Linked DNA regions of Schizosaccharomyces pombe. The gene in region 1 interacts genetically with each later gene. Each region holds a gene or a part of one and is shown in the gene's direction. Other genes may lie near its edges.

What was found.
Region 2: mutations in apq12 (region 1) and sad1 are lethal when combined (synthetic lethality), as found in Schizosaccharomyces pombe (one study listed by BioGRID).
Region 3: mutations in apq12 (region 1) and kms2 are lethal when combined (synthetic lethality), as found in Schizosaccharomyces pombe (one study listed by BioGRID).

Annotation. Positions count from the first base shown.
Region 1 is NC_003423.3:447,264-449,907, forward strand, and holds apq12 (nuclear membrane organization protein Apq12), read left to right. Parts: upstream 1-1,670; coding exon 1,671-2,018; 3' UTR 2,019-2,135; downstream 2,136-2,644. Other genes in the region: arg12 (argininosuccinate synthase), read right to left, coding at 2,508-2,644. UniProt on the Schizosaccharomyces pombe protein: Involved in the regulation of lipid homeostasis in the endoplasmic reticulum, thereby impacting nuclear pore complex biogenesis and localization, and nucleocytoplasmic mRNA transport.
Region 2 is NC_003423.3:2,301,648-2,307,176, forward strand, and holds sad1 (protein Sad1), read left to right. Parts: upstream 1-2,118; 5' UTR 2,119-2,534; coding exon 2,535-4,079; 3' UTR 4,080-4,110; coding exon of another isoform or gene 4,111-4,593; 3' UTR 4,594-5,014; downstream 5,015-5,529. Other genes in the region: DNA polymerase delta subunit Cdm1, read right to left, coding at 4,111-4,593.
Region 3 is NC_003423.3:646,421-650,805, reverse strand, and holds kms2 (protein Kms2), read left to right. Parts: upstream 1-1,786; 5' UTR 1,787-1,816; coding exon 1,817-1,879; exon of another isoform or gene 1,880-1,922; coding exon 1,923-2,669; exon of another isoform or gene 2,670-2,735; coding exon 2,736-3,299; 3' UTR 3,300-3,870; downstream 3,871-4,385. Other genes in the region: DNA replication factor C complex subunit Elg1, read right to left, coding at 1-826; rba50 (RNA polymerase II-associated protein), read left to right, coding at 4,228-4,385.

The DNA of each region.
Region 1 (2,644 bases):
ATTATGCGATTAATAATACAACGGTGTAATATAATGATATTATTATTACTGAACTTACAAAAATCTGATATTCCAATACTTAATAATTTAATAGAACTAAAGAACGAAGTTTCAGTTGGAAATGATTTTGCAGTCTTTTTGTTTTATATAAATTTATATTATATAATAGCAATGCCTACTCTCTGTGAAATGGAATTATAAATGATAATGTAATACAAAATGAATACTATTGTGTAAAGATGTGCAAACATTGTACGAGCTGCTACATAATATTGCATAATAAAGATATTTTTACATGTATATCACTAATAAGAAGTTGGGCATTGAAGAGTATTAGTCTGCTATCTTTGCAAATTGCTTCTAATATGTATATAAATAGCTTGGGAGAAAATTATTATTAATATTTAGTCTTTAGTAAGATCCAACAATTTAATTTATTAGAGCTACTTGTTTCATGCCGTTCTTAAATGTCCAGAAAAAAGATTTATTCATTCCAATAGAATAAATTAATATAATAAACAAGCATTCCCGCTATTCCAGCGTTAATATAATGGGTTTCATATGCATATTCAAAATGTATATAAAGGGTATACTAGCCACATTGTCATGTGCAGCCCTCGCTTAAGTAATAGCTTAAAACAACTGTGGGGTTATTGAAGAAATGAAAATGTTAAAAACGTAAAAGTTGTTTGTTTGTACGGTTGGACCCTCTAAACACTTTTTTCTATTCTGACATTTAATTAATTTTATGATGAAGATTTTTTTTATGTTCAGTAAGTAAAGCGATGCCTTATAACAATATTACAATGGTAATGGTATAAATAAAGATAAAAATTTTATAGCAATTGCAAGAATGAGTACTTTTGAAAACTCGGTTATTGGAGAATCAAGCTGAAGTGGTTGAAGCGAGCTAGTAATAACTCACTTTAAAGCATTTACCAATTGAAGTCTCACAAGCCTTTTGATATTTCGAAAAGGAAGGAATTATGCTAGGCACTCAGCATAAAAAGAACCATTTTATATGATAAAGGGCAAAGGGAAATTAATTTTCTCTCTATAATAGTAAGTATACTGTTGGATATTTATTCCAAAGGAAATATAGGCGGTGAATTCTACTTTTATCTTCTGATCTCTACGCTTTTATTATCAACCGTAAGAGTCTTTCTTTTATAGTAATAACAATCCAGTTAAAAAGGGATAAAAATACTTATCTTCCTTTTTATATATTACTAATCCTAAAAGAGCTTAGAAATAAGCAATTTTTTATTAACTAGTTCTTTATAAAAGCATATTTATAGAGAAAAGCATTTCATGAAATTATGCTATGTACAGCGAAATACGAAAATAAAATACCTCCTTTGACTAGAACTGTAAGCAACAAAGAGTAAACAATAAAAGCTTGTAGTCATTAGCAAATTAGATTTTTTTATCAGTAGTCTCGATATTAGATGAGATATGTTGACATAATCTGTTTGCCAGTTCTTTCTTTAAATGAGTTTTGTTTATAGAACCGTTTATTTCAACTCATCTTCCAATTTTTATTTTAACATATTTTATTAGCAAATGTAATCGTTGGTAAAATTCGCCTACAACGTCAACATTCAGTCAAAAAGCACACCTAACTACTCCCATCTCTATTACTCCCCGTTCATATTTTAACTTTTTAGAAAATGTCTTTGACATCCGTTTTATGGAATTTCGTCGCCAAACTTGCTGTGGACCATGGATTAAATACCAATCCTGATCAAGTCTTTCAAACCGTTGAAAATGTAGGCAAAAGTTTCGAAAAATATGAAACGTCTTTCCTAAAATCATTGTTCAATGGAAATCTAGGATTGAGCTTGCCCTCAGCTATTAATATCTTGACTTTGATTATAGTGTTATACTTCTCTTTGGTCATTGTAAATAAGACTACCAGTATTGCCCTTGCCCTCTTCAAAACACTTGCTGTAATTTCTTTTTTCTTACTAATCGGTTGTCTCTTTGCTTACTGGTTTATCAATAACGGATCTTTTTGAACATTGACTAGCAGCGTTATCTTCTTTGTTTTTTCAGATTACCGAGTACAAAGTGTTATGGATATGCTTTAAAAAATTTTATTTTAGTAATATATTTTTCATCTTTTTTGTTCCTCATTTCATTTATCATTCAAGATGGTTTCGACATTATTCTTGATTTTAGGACTGTATACGAAGAATGGCTAAAGGCCTGTAAAATATTTTTTAAATTAAAAGCATAGTATTGAGTACATTAAACATCTTAACAATTTGCGTTTGCAATATAAAACTTCAATTTCAATTAGTTACAGTTTTCAGAATTTATTTTTTTTTTGCAACAAAAATATTCAATTGACTTATCAGTGATATGAACGGAGTAATTCTATGAAATGTGAATATGAAAAGGAAGCCATCTCAAATAATACTTCTTATTTGCACAGCAGAAATTTGATTATTGCTTGGCTCAAGTACATGGTGAGTATGACATTATTATTGAGAACGACCTGGCATTTACATCCAATGTTTTCCTTCATCAGAGTTACGCAAACGCATAGACTCGATTTGGATGAAACCAGAGGTCCATGTAGGGTCAAATCCACCAAGCTCATCCATAGATGACAATTTCTCGTCATAAAGATGAGCAGTAT
Region 2 (5,529 bases), 1.9 Mb from region 1:
TATGCAATTAAGTGTAGAACAATTGAATCTCATCCGTGTTTCGTGTCTTCCTCTACATGAGCAACGTGCCTAGGGCGAATTTAGCTACACACTAGCAATGGCTCTAACATATTAACATCTCTTACTACACTATGGTTCACTGGTTTTAACCTTACAACAAGCTCTAACCCAACTGTAACTTATAACCTTACAATGGCTCTAACCTGACAGTAGCTTGTAACCTAATAGCGGCTCGTGAACCTACCATAACTAGTGTGCTTTGTTACAAATCGGTGAATAAAGTAATTTTACTATTACCGTTTAGGAACATACTCATACAACTGCTCTTCGGCGTTAATATTGCGGTCCGACACGTTGGTTAATAAAACTATCTCCTCCGGGATTTCCTTGCTGTAGCCATTACGATATGCGACGTTGATTCACAAGATGTTGCATTATAGCATCCTGACTTGAACCACCTGCAAAAATTTTTTTCATTCTTAGGCGTTTGTTTATTTACTCACCACCCACAGGTGATAATTTGCTATTCACGTTGCACTGCTTTACTTACCGAACGGATCAATTCCACATAGCGAGAGATATCGTAAACGGCAAACAATGTCTGAATTTTCATATGAGTTATTCCACATTGTCAGCTCTATCTACTTTGATGGATCACAAGTTTTCCCGGATTTTAGGGTTGCTCAATAAGCTAACATCGGTTTCGGCCCATGAATGATGTCCAGCGCATGGTTTCTCGTTTGTGTCGCAACACCTAGTCCTGAAGTAGCTGAGTGAGTGTATAAGGTACAGAAATGAAATGAAGTCGTGAGATGAATACACAATCATGAGACATACTTGGCGCCACGTTGAGTAATTGAAATGATTGAACCTTTTTTGACGGTTGGTTGAGCAGATTGATTATTGAGGTTTTATTTATTAGGATTCATTATGTAGCGCACAGGATCAAATACTAGGTTGTGCAATACTACTCGACATTGCCTCAATTCATTACTTTCGCTAGCCAAAAAAACAATACGGGCTAATTGGAAGTTAAACGTGCCATAAATTTCGTCCTTGTTGAAATACTGACGTTTTCAAAGTTACGCATAGCTTGTCTTTGATTCCTTATATACAACATTGTGCAGTTTCTGTTGAATGTAGTGAAACCAAGCGATGAATAAGCTCAAAACATGAAAATTTTTCGTTTCATTTTTTTTTGACAGGACCGTATCAGTGTCGCAGTAAAATGGGATCCTAAGTATGCAAAAACAAGCAGTTAGTTAGACAATTTATGGTTGCGTATTGCTGCTACCTTCGCAATCGGCACAATATTCAAGCAATTTGAAAGCGACTGAATGCCCGAATTTCATTGGCTATATGATGAAAAGCGAAAATCCTACTTTGACGAACTATAAAGTATAATATTCAGCGGCAATGTTGTATTAAACAGTAGAAAGGTTTATTAAAGGTTTATTAAATGTTTATTTACTCAATTGATCATTGTTGAAATTTGCTTTTGAAAATCATTGGCGTAGATTCTCGTGTCGATGAAATGTATCCCTAACAAACGCAAAAACGTTTTTTCAATGCCTAGAAATTGAAGTCGTTGAACTACTACTACAGCAAAATGCCAAATCTGTTTACTTAACTGATTAAAAGTGAAACGATACTGAATACTTTTGATTTTTCAAATAAATTTGGTAGCATATGATCGGTTTCTTGTTCTTTTTCTTTAAAAATTGGAAATCTAAATGCAAACGAAGTAATATTAATAGTGGTAAAAATATTAATAGGTATGGAACTTGCTATTTTATAAGGCTGCTTTATTACTTGAATCCATCAAACTTCTCACTTCACTGAACAGTTTTGCCATGCTCTCACGAAAACTCCTAAATTACCAAACCTGTTTTTTATATAAACACGCGAATTGCTGGATTTGGATCCTATCAGCTTCAAGTACTTAATTCATCAGCGTTCAAACCCTCTTGTATTAACAGTCTACCATTTTTATTCATCAAATATTTCTCGCTTTATTTCCATATATTATGTTATGAATATTTATCGATTGTCAGCGATATATAACGTAGTAAATTCTTAGTGTATACACTTACCGTAAACACAACAAAACTCTTTCTCAGCAGTCAATCTTCGTACCGTCCATTTCTAGTGTGTTTATCTTGGTATTGTATCCTTTATTGTTTGTGAAGGAATTTTCCAGTATTGGAATTGGAATGATACCTCAAGAAAGGTATACTCTGCTAGGGTAGGATCAATTACATACATTGTGTGTATAGGTATCTGTTTTCACATAAAAAAGGCGTCAACGATAATTCGTCTGTTATTAATAATTTATACATTCGCATAAAGCGATCAAAAAGGCATTCAATTACAGAATCCTACTTAAGCTTCACTTTTTTGAATACGAACACTAATTCAAATTCTCGCCTTCCAATACTCTCTTTTCAATTTTTGTCTCTCTTTTTACATATTTATTTATCACTGATTCGTTTGTATATTTTTCTTTTAATTTTCAAATAGCCTTTTATACATCAATGTTTACTAATACACCGGTTGGAGGGAAAAGAGAGCGTCAAAATGGCGCTCATCCAGCTTGGTCGACGTTAGGAGCGAACTCTGCTCAGATTCATCAAAATACGGCTGATTTGGCCTCCAAAATGCATAAACTTCGCTATACAAAGATAAGGTCCCCTCCTACCAGGGTGTCCATTGAATCAATTACTCCTAAACAAAGATTTCCAGCTCCCAATTTCGAACAGGCTTACCACTCTAATATTCGATACGAGCAAGAGGAATCTGATAACGAAGAATTTGAAAACGTAGTGAAAAATGGACACGAAGCTTCGACGAATGTATTCTATGAATCAGATGGAGATGATGAAGAGTTTGTCAATGAAGAATACGAAAACAGCATCGACGAGGAAAGTGATGATGAAGGGTATAGCTTGAACGAGGATACCACCGCAACAAATGCCAGTTTTAGGTACCCGATGAATCAAAGATCTACAAGGAAATCTCAATTTTATTCCTCAAAATTTAAACCATTACTTTGGTTCGGTATCACTCTCTTTTCGACTCTCCTAATAATTACTCTACTTCACAAGGGTCAAGAATTTTACTCAAGATCATTTTCATCAGATAATTCCCAACCATCTAATTCGCCCGTACCAAACATTCCTCCTGCATCCAATGACACCAAAACAAGTTTAAAGCCAGATATTATTAAAGACTTCACAGATTCACCTTCTAAAGTTGGCGGCAATGAGGAATTCGATTATTCGACGGGAGATTTAATTACAAAAAAGGAATTTGACAAGATTTTACAACAAAAAGTAGAGCAATTAAAACAGTCGCTAAAGGAGGAGATGTCTAATTACAAATCATCGGTCCCATTTGAAGTTGAACTAAATGACGATTGGAAGTTCTTCATCGAATCTACGGTTCGAAAATACTTGACCGATCCGGTTTCCATGCCGAATTTTGCATTGCTCTCAACAGGAGCGGAAGTACTACCTGCCTTAACCTCAAAACGCTATGTGAGACGACCATCTGCATTCATACCACGATTTACCTCCTATTTCTTTGATTCGCTCGTTGTTAGAGGACACGAACCTAGCATAGCATTAACTCCCAACAACGCAGTTGCGATGTGTTGGAGCTTTCAAGGTTCAGAGGGACAATTAGGAATTTCCCTATCACGCCCTGTATATGTAACCAATGTCACAATAGAGCACGTTCAGCACAAGATTGCTCATGATCTTTCTAGCGCTCCCAAGGACTTTGAGTTGTGGGTTCAGGGAATGTCCAGCAAGATGTTTGTATTGTTGGGAAAGGCGAGATATTCTTTAACGGAAGACTCTATTCAAACTTTTTCGTTTGAATCCTCCAATTATATTGTCGCTGAACCGATACAGAATGTGATCTTAAAAATAAAAAGCAACTGGGGAAATCCCAATTACACATGCTTGTATCAAGTTCGAGTTCATGGGACTGTACCCAATGCAGACGAACAACCAATACCTTCTTTAGGTGAGAAAGCCGAAAGTACTGCAGAGAATACGGGTCAAGATTCATCTTAAAGACCTACAAAATGTAAGATATAAAAATAATCTAGCCTGGAATGGTTTGAAGATCATAAAAGAGCGATTCTCTTTTTCGATTTTCCTCATCTGCTTCCTCGAGCATCAATATCTTTCCCACTGTTTCTGGAGGATTTAAATTGAAGTTTTTTGCACGTTTCCAGCGTTGCATCCTTGTCATACCAAGATATGGTCCATATCTTGCCGTAGTGTCAAAGTGATGCAAAATGAACTCTACTTTGGTTATATTTTCACAATGTATTGGTTCACTAATCCTTTCAGCCATAATTTGATTCCAAGCCTCTTCTACCTCTTTTGAAAGCTCATCGTCTTCTTTAATTCTCTCATCCAAGGTTTTGGTTGTAATTGTAACATCGGGTGTAGGCGACTGTTCAGAACTCACTTTCTTCCCTATGTGGGATTGACTTGAATTACTTCGAACTACATGTGGAAACACGTCGCGAATATTAGTGTTTTGCCCTGATTTTTTCGCTTGAGTAGTGCGCTTCTTCATACTGCGTGATATAATTCTGTAACACTGCGGTACTAGAATGAAAGGTGCACTATAAATCCAATTCTTTTTCGTGTTTACTCAATTTAGAGCATTAGTTTGTTTGGCCAAAAGAAATCTCTGAAAAAGTACATTTGGTTGCAAGTGTACTTTTAATATGTATATATAACTTTAGATGACTACTATAGCGATGTTTAAAATGCGTCACGCTGACGAGAAAATAAGTATCCAGCCATCCGCTCGTTCTTTATCGTTATACATATATCAGCCTTCATATATATTATTATTCATTTAGGTCCAAGTATTTAAGTGCATTATTGATAATTATTAAAATAGAAACTTCTTGACGACCCCTATTTCGGTATTTCTAGTTCGTTGTTGGAGCAAACAAGAAGTAAACAATACTCGTTATTAGTTCAGATAGTATTGTGGAAATTTCATAATTAGATACAAGTATTTTAGCAATACGTGTTGTCTTAATCCAGCCTTGGTCATGCAATTGAATCACTTGCCAGCCTTCCTAACATATCTTTAATACGTTTCTAAAAAGGGTTTTGGTCTTTACCGATTTAAAATAGGCAATTTCGTAAATGCAAATAGATATACTTATTAACATTTTCAAAATTTAAAAAATTTATAGTTAAATAGCTTTGAGTATTGCAAAATTTGTCTTTTGTGCTTTGCTAAAACAGCGTAACTTTTTACACTGCAATTGAAGCACAAAGACAGTTGAAACTTCAATTCCCTTACAGCTTTTAGTAATTTAAGTATCTAGTTTCATTAAGTTGTCTTTTTTTAAGGGCTTTTAAACTGTTAGTTATACAGTGGTAAACAAACTGACCGGGCTTTCTCAATGATTAAACTGCACTATCATTAAATACAGTGTAGTCAACCAAATTGTTATATTTTTTAATGCAGTCGATAAATTTACATAATGCT
Region 3 (4,385 bases), 200 kb from region 1:
CCTGTAATACTTCTGTTTTATTTTTCTCAGCTAATGGGGTTATCATATTCGCGGTGGTGGAGGAAAGAACCTCCTTAAACGAAAGATGAGAGGTCTCTTCTAAAATGGCTTCTTCTAAATGCTTTTTCGGAAACCAGAAAACACTCGGCTCAATAGAGCCGGCATACTCTAACATACTCTGGGAATCGGGTGTCGGCCATAATGGATCAAGTAACCTCTCTGGCTTAGTACCGCCTCTTTCTTCACTTACAAATTTGATTTCAGAATTCTTTTTCACAGACTTTGACATGAAAAACGGGTGCATGGATGTGACAGTATTTCGCAGATTACTAGGTGAATCTGCTAAGTTTGAATAATGTAACTCGGAAACAAGGGGGGAAGAATTAACTGTTTCCTGTGAATTAATATTCTCAACTAAAATATTAGTATCTGATGCTTCTCCCGACGACTTAGCAGGCGGAAAGGCAGTTGAGTTGGTATCATTGCTGAGTTTTGGGTGTAATATATTCTCAATTTTTTGACCCAAGGAAGTCGATACTTTAAGCGTTACTAGTAAAGATTGATCATTTTCAAAGTCTTTGCTTTCCTCCATATCCATATCAAAGAATTTCCTCATGTAGCTACGTTCCTTATGAAGTGATCGGCTTCTTCGAGGTTTACGAGACCCTGACAAAGGAGATTTGCCAAAATATTTATTTTCAGATGTGGCAGGGACTGGTGACATTGTGTGTCTCCTCCCAATAGGCTTTTCTTCTTTTGCTTCATTTTCGGATTTTAAATCAGGATTACTCTGCGAATCTGCAGACAAATAGCCTACAATTTGCATAGGGATCTTCAATCACCGCATAAGTTCAATAAAAGTCCTAGTTTGAATGATTTTTAGAAATAGTTTCACAGGTTTCTCAGCTTTCAACAGTTTGGTTAAGGAGAGGTAGACAAAGACTCCGTGTACTAGTGAACGAGTATTGGGAATTCGATAAGCTTATAGTTTAGATTTATTTATTTTTAAGTATGTTTTAGATTACTGAAATTCCTAAATAAAATATCGTTGCACCATTGAAGCAACACGATCCTCCATATTATCATTGTTATGTGTAAGCTGTCAGTAATTGAATAGAGAAGTAGGAGATATAATCGTCACAGTTAAGCTTTTTCATCTCTTTTAAAAACGACTTACCAACTTTTAATGTGAGTTTGCTTATTCCATGCAAAGAAAACCGAGTTCAATAGCTATTAATCCATAGCCTAACATAATCAGTGAAATAGTCAAAAGAAAAATTTGATACTAATATACTTTTTAGAAAATTTTAAAGAATTTGTATAATTACTATTTCTACTACCGCCAATTAGTCGGAACGCTGACTAACTTTTTGTGCATCGTTGTAAAATAAAGGAGAGCAGAATTTCACTTGTTTATGATTGTAGTAAATTTTCTAAGTTAAGTAGTCTATTTACTTCAATTAAGTAAATCTAGATTCAAGAAACGGATCACATTTGTTTATCTGTTTATTTATTTGTTTGTTTTTTAAAAAAAGGTAAGTGTAAAGCTTTCCTTCCACTTTAACTCAATCAGTAAAAAATAATTTATTTTGAAGATGATTTTGCTAACAATTTTATACATTTCGTACTGCAACATTTTGCTAAAATATCCTGTTTATGTTTTGACTTGCACTTTGTTTACTTTTTTAAGGCAACTTCTATAACGTATTGTTCTGCATTACATTACAAAAATAAGAAAATCGCACAAGTTATCGTTAACAAACCTGCCTTTATACTAATTCTGTTTAACCAAAGCACATGTCAATAAACAATCAAAATGGATGAATACATCCCTTTTGACGATATTGTGCGCCAATACGACCCAGATTATACAGGAAAAGTAATTTCTCATTACTTGAAAAATAGTTTCTAATTTTCGACAGGTTTCCATTCAAGCATTTTTAGAAATTGTCGACGATGTTGACGCATTGCGACTTAATCCAGAGGCCCCTTTGCTTGATAATGAGCAAAGACAATCGGCCCAAGATTTTATAAAAGATAACAGTGAGATTGTAGTGTCTACGAGTGAAATTAAGAATTTGTTTTATGAGTTAACTGGTCTTGACCCTGATACCCTTCCTGTAAACAAATTAGCTTTGCGCGAGAATGGGGTATTACCAAGAAAAAGTGTAGCGAAGCCTCAAAAAATATCAGAAAATCGAATAAAGAGAAAAGATATGTTTTATCAAGACGCAAGTTACATAACACCAAGAAAAGGATCACCTTTGAGTCATTCAACCCCTTTGTCAATGTTTCGAACTAAAAATGAATATGGATCAAATAAAGGATTTTCTCATATAAACAAGGAAAATGCTGATGATTCTTTAATTCAACAGCTTTATGAAAGGATAGAGCTTCAAGCGGCAGAATTACGTTCTAAAGACGAGCAAGTTAAAGAACTAAACGCGCGAAATGCAAAATTATTGGAGGAATTGGATTCTTCGGAAGAAGCTTGCAAGTCTTGTTATACCCAAGCGAAAACCTGGGAGAAAAAATTTCGTGAAGCTCTTCGTGATTCTAAGGAGTATGCAGCTCAATTACAAACCATTCATGAAGAGTATGAGCAACAGCAAGCCCATATTGTGAGAATGGAAGAGCTAATCCATGCTGTAGAAAAGGAAAGGAAAACGGTATGATTTTTAAGAATATGCCTTATTCGAGGTAGAGACAAGCCAGTTTACTAATTTGTTTAATAGGAAACAGATTACATGAAGAAAGAATCTTTGTCGGAACAAAAAGAAAGAGGCGCTTTTATGGAGTCAAACATGATTTTAGAAGAAAAGGTTGCACATCTTCAGTTGGAAAACGAGCAGTTGAGACTATTTTTTAAGGAAAAGGCGCCTCAACCCTTCCAAAATCACCCTCCGTATCAAAATCTAAAAATTACTTTTCCCAGCCCTTTCTTTCACATCCCTTACATCCCTAAAACGGAGACTTTGAACGATTCCCAATTTGCCGCTGGTCTCTCTTTACTGGCATCAGAACTTGAAAGTCAAAAAAATCTGTTAAAGAAGTTCGAAAACTTAAAAAAGAAGTCTTCCAAAGATTTTTTATCTCCCTCCACCATACTCTCTAATGCTTTTTCCAAAGTTTCACTCCCCAATTCTTTAATTTTGCGTGTCTTATTTTTTTCATTGTTGTTCATCATCGGAATTCATATTTTTTATTTTTTGTTTTTTCATGTTGCAACAATTCAACAATGGCCTTTTCTTTTTTGGTTACCATCTACAAAATTCGACAATCGTTGGTCTCCGACATGAATCTTAGATTCAAGTTTAATCCAATTTTTATTTTCAAAGCACGGATTCCAAACTTAATTGCTATAATTGAACATTGATTCAAGATTTATGTATATTGGAATAATTGATGTATTTATGGGGCTCTGCTCAATTCAAGACGATCTGTATCTTCTAACTCTTCGCCTGATAGGCAACGGACAAGAAGTTTACATTGAGCTAATAATTAGTCGCATCTCATCTGCGTTTGGTTTTAGGTGTGTCATATGAAAAAGGGTTAAAGCGACGTTTTTCGTTTTTATGTTTGAATTAAGATATTTTCTCTGAGACGAAATATTTTTAGTGTTTATCATTCTTTTCTTGTCTAATCTTCTACTCGCCACTCATTTTTCTGTTCTCTATTTTTTCTTTTTGGATGAATGTCGTTTCTTCTAATAACTTCTTTCTTTCTTTAATCTTCAAGGATAGCCCAAGTCCTATTAAACTCGGATACTATCTTTCTCATAATTTCTCTTTTATAACTAGAAAACTTTTTCACGAATTAATTATTTATTATGCACTTTTAATATTAAATGAAAAGTATTGAATTAAAAAAGGAAAAAACCATCCATTTTTCATATCATGTAAACATTTAGTTTTTTTTCCATACAATAAATCAATTTTTACAGTTACGTTATCATATATAGTGAGATGTACCGTTATTTTGTGAGCGCAAAATAGCTAAGAAAATGAGAGAAAACGTAACCATCCCTGCAATCTACCAAATGGTATGTAAATAGTGAAAGGGAGAAAAAACTCATAAGGTTGAAGTATTTATTATTCATTTAATCAGAATCTCATAATACTATCTCAGAGGGCTTTATTCGTGAGGTTTGAAGAAATTGACCCTTAAATTCTTATAAAAAGGAAACATCTACATACAAAAAGCAGATATTTTCAAAATTCAATCGCTATGGAGAATCACAGGAGTGTATTCTCAAATGTGATAGGTGATATTGTTGAAAAACCGCCGAAGCAACTTGTTGAAGTGAAGAGGTCAGTTCAGCGGCATGCTAGGGGATTTCCAGCCGTTTCACGAACATTGCCGAAACGAGAATCGAAATCAATGAG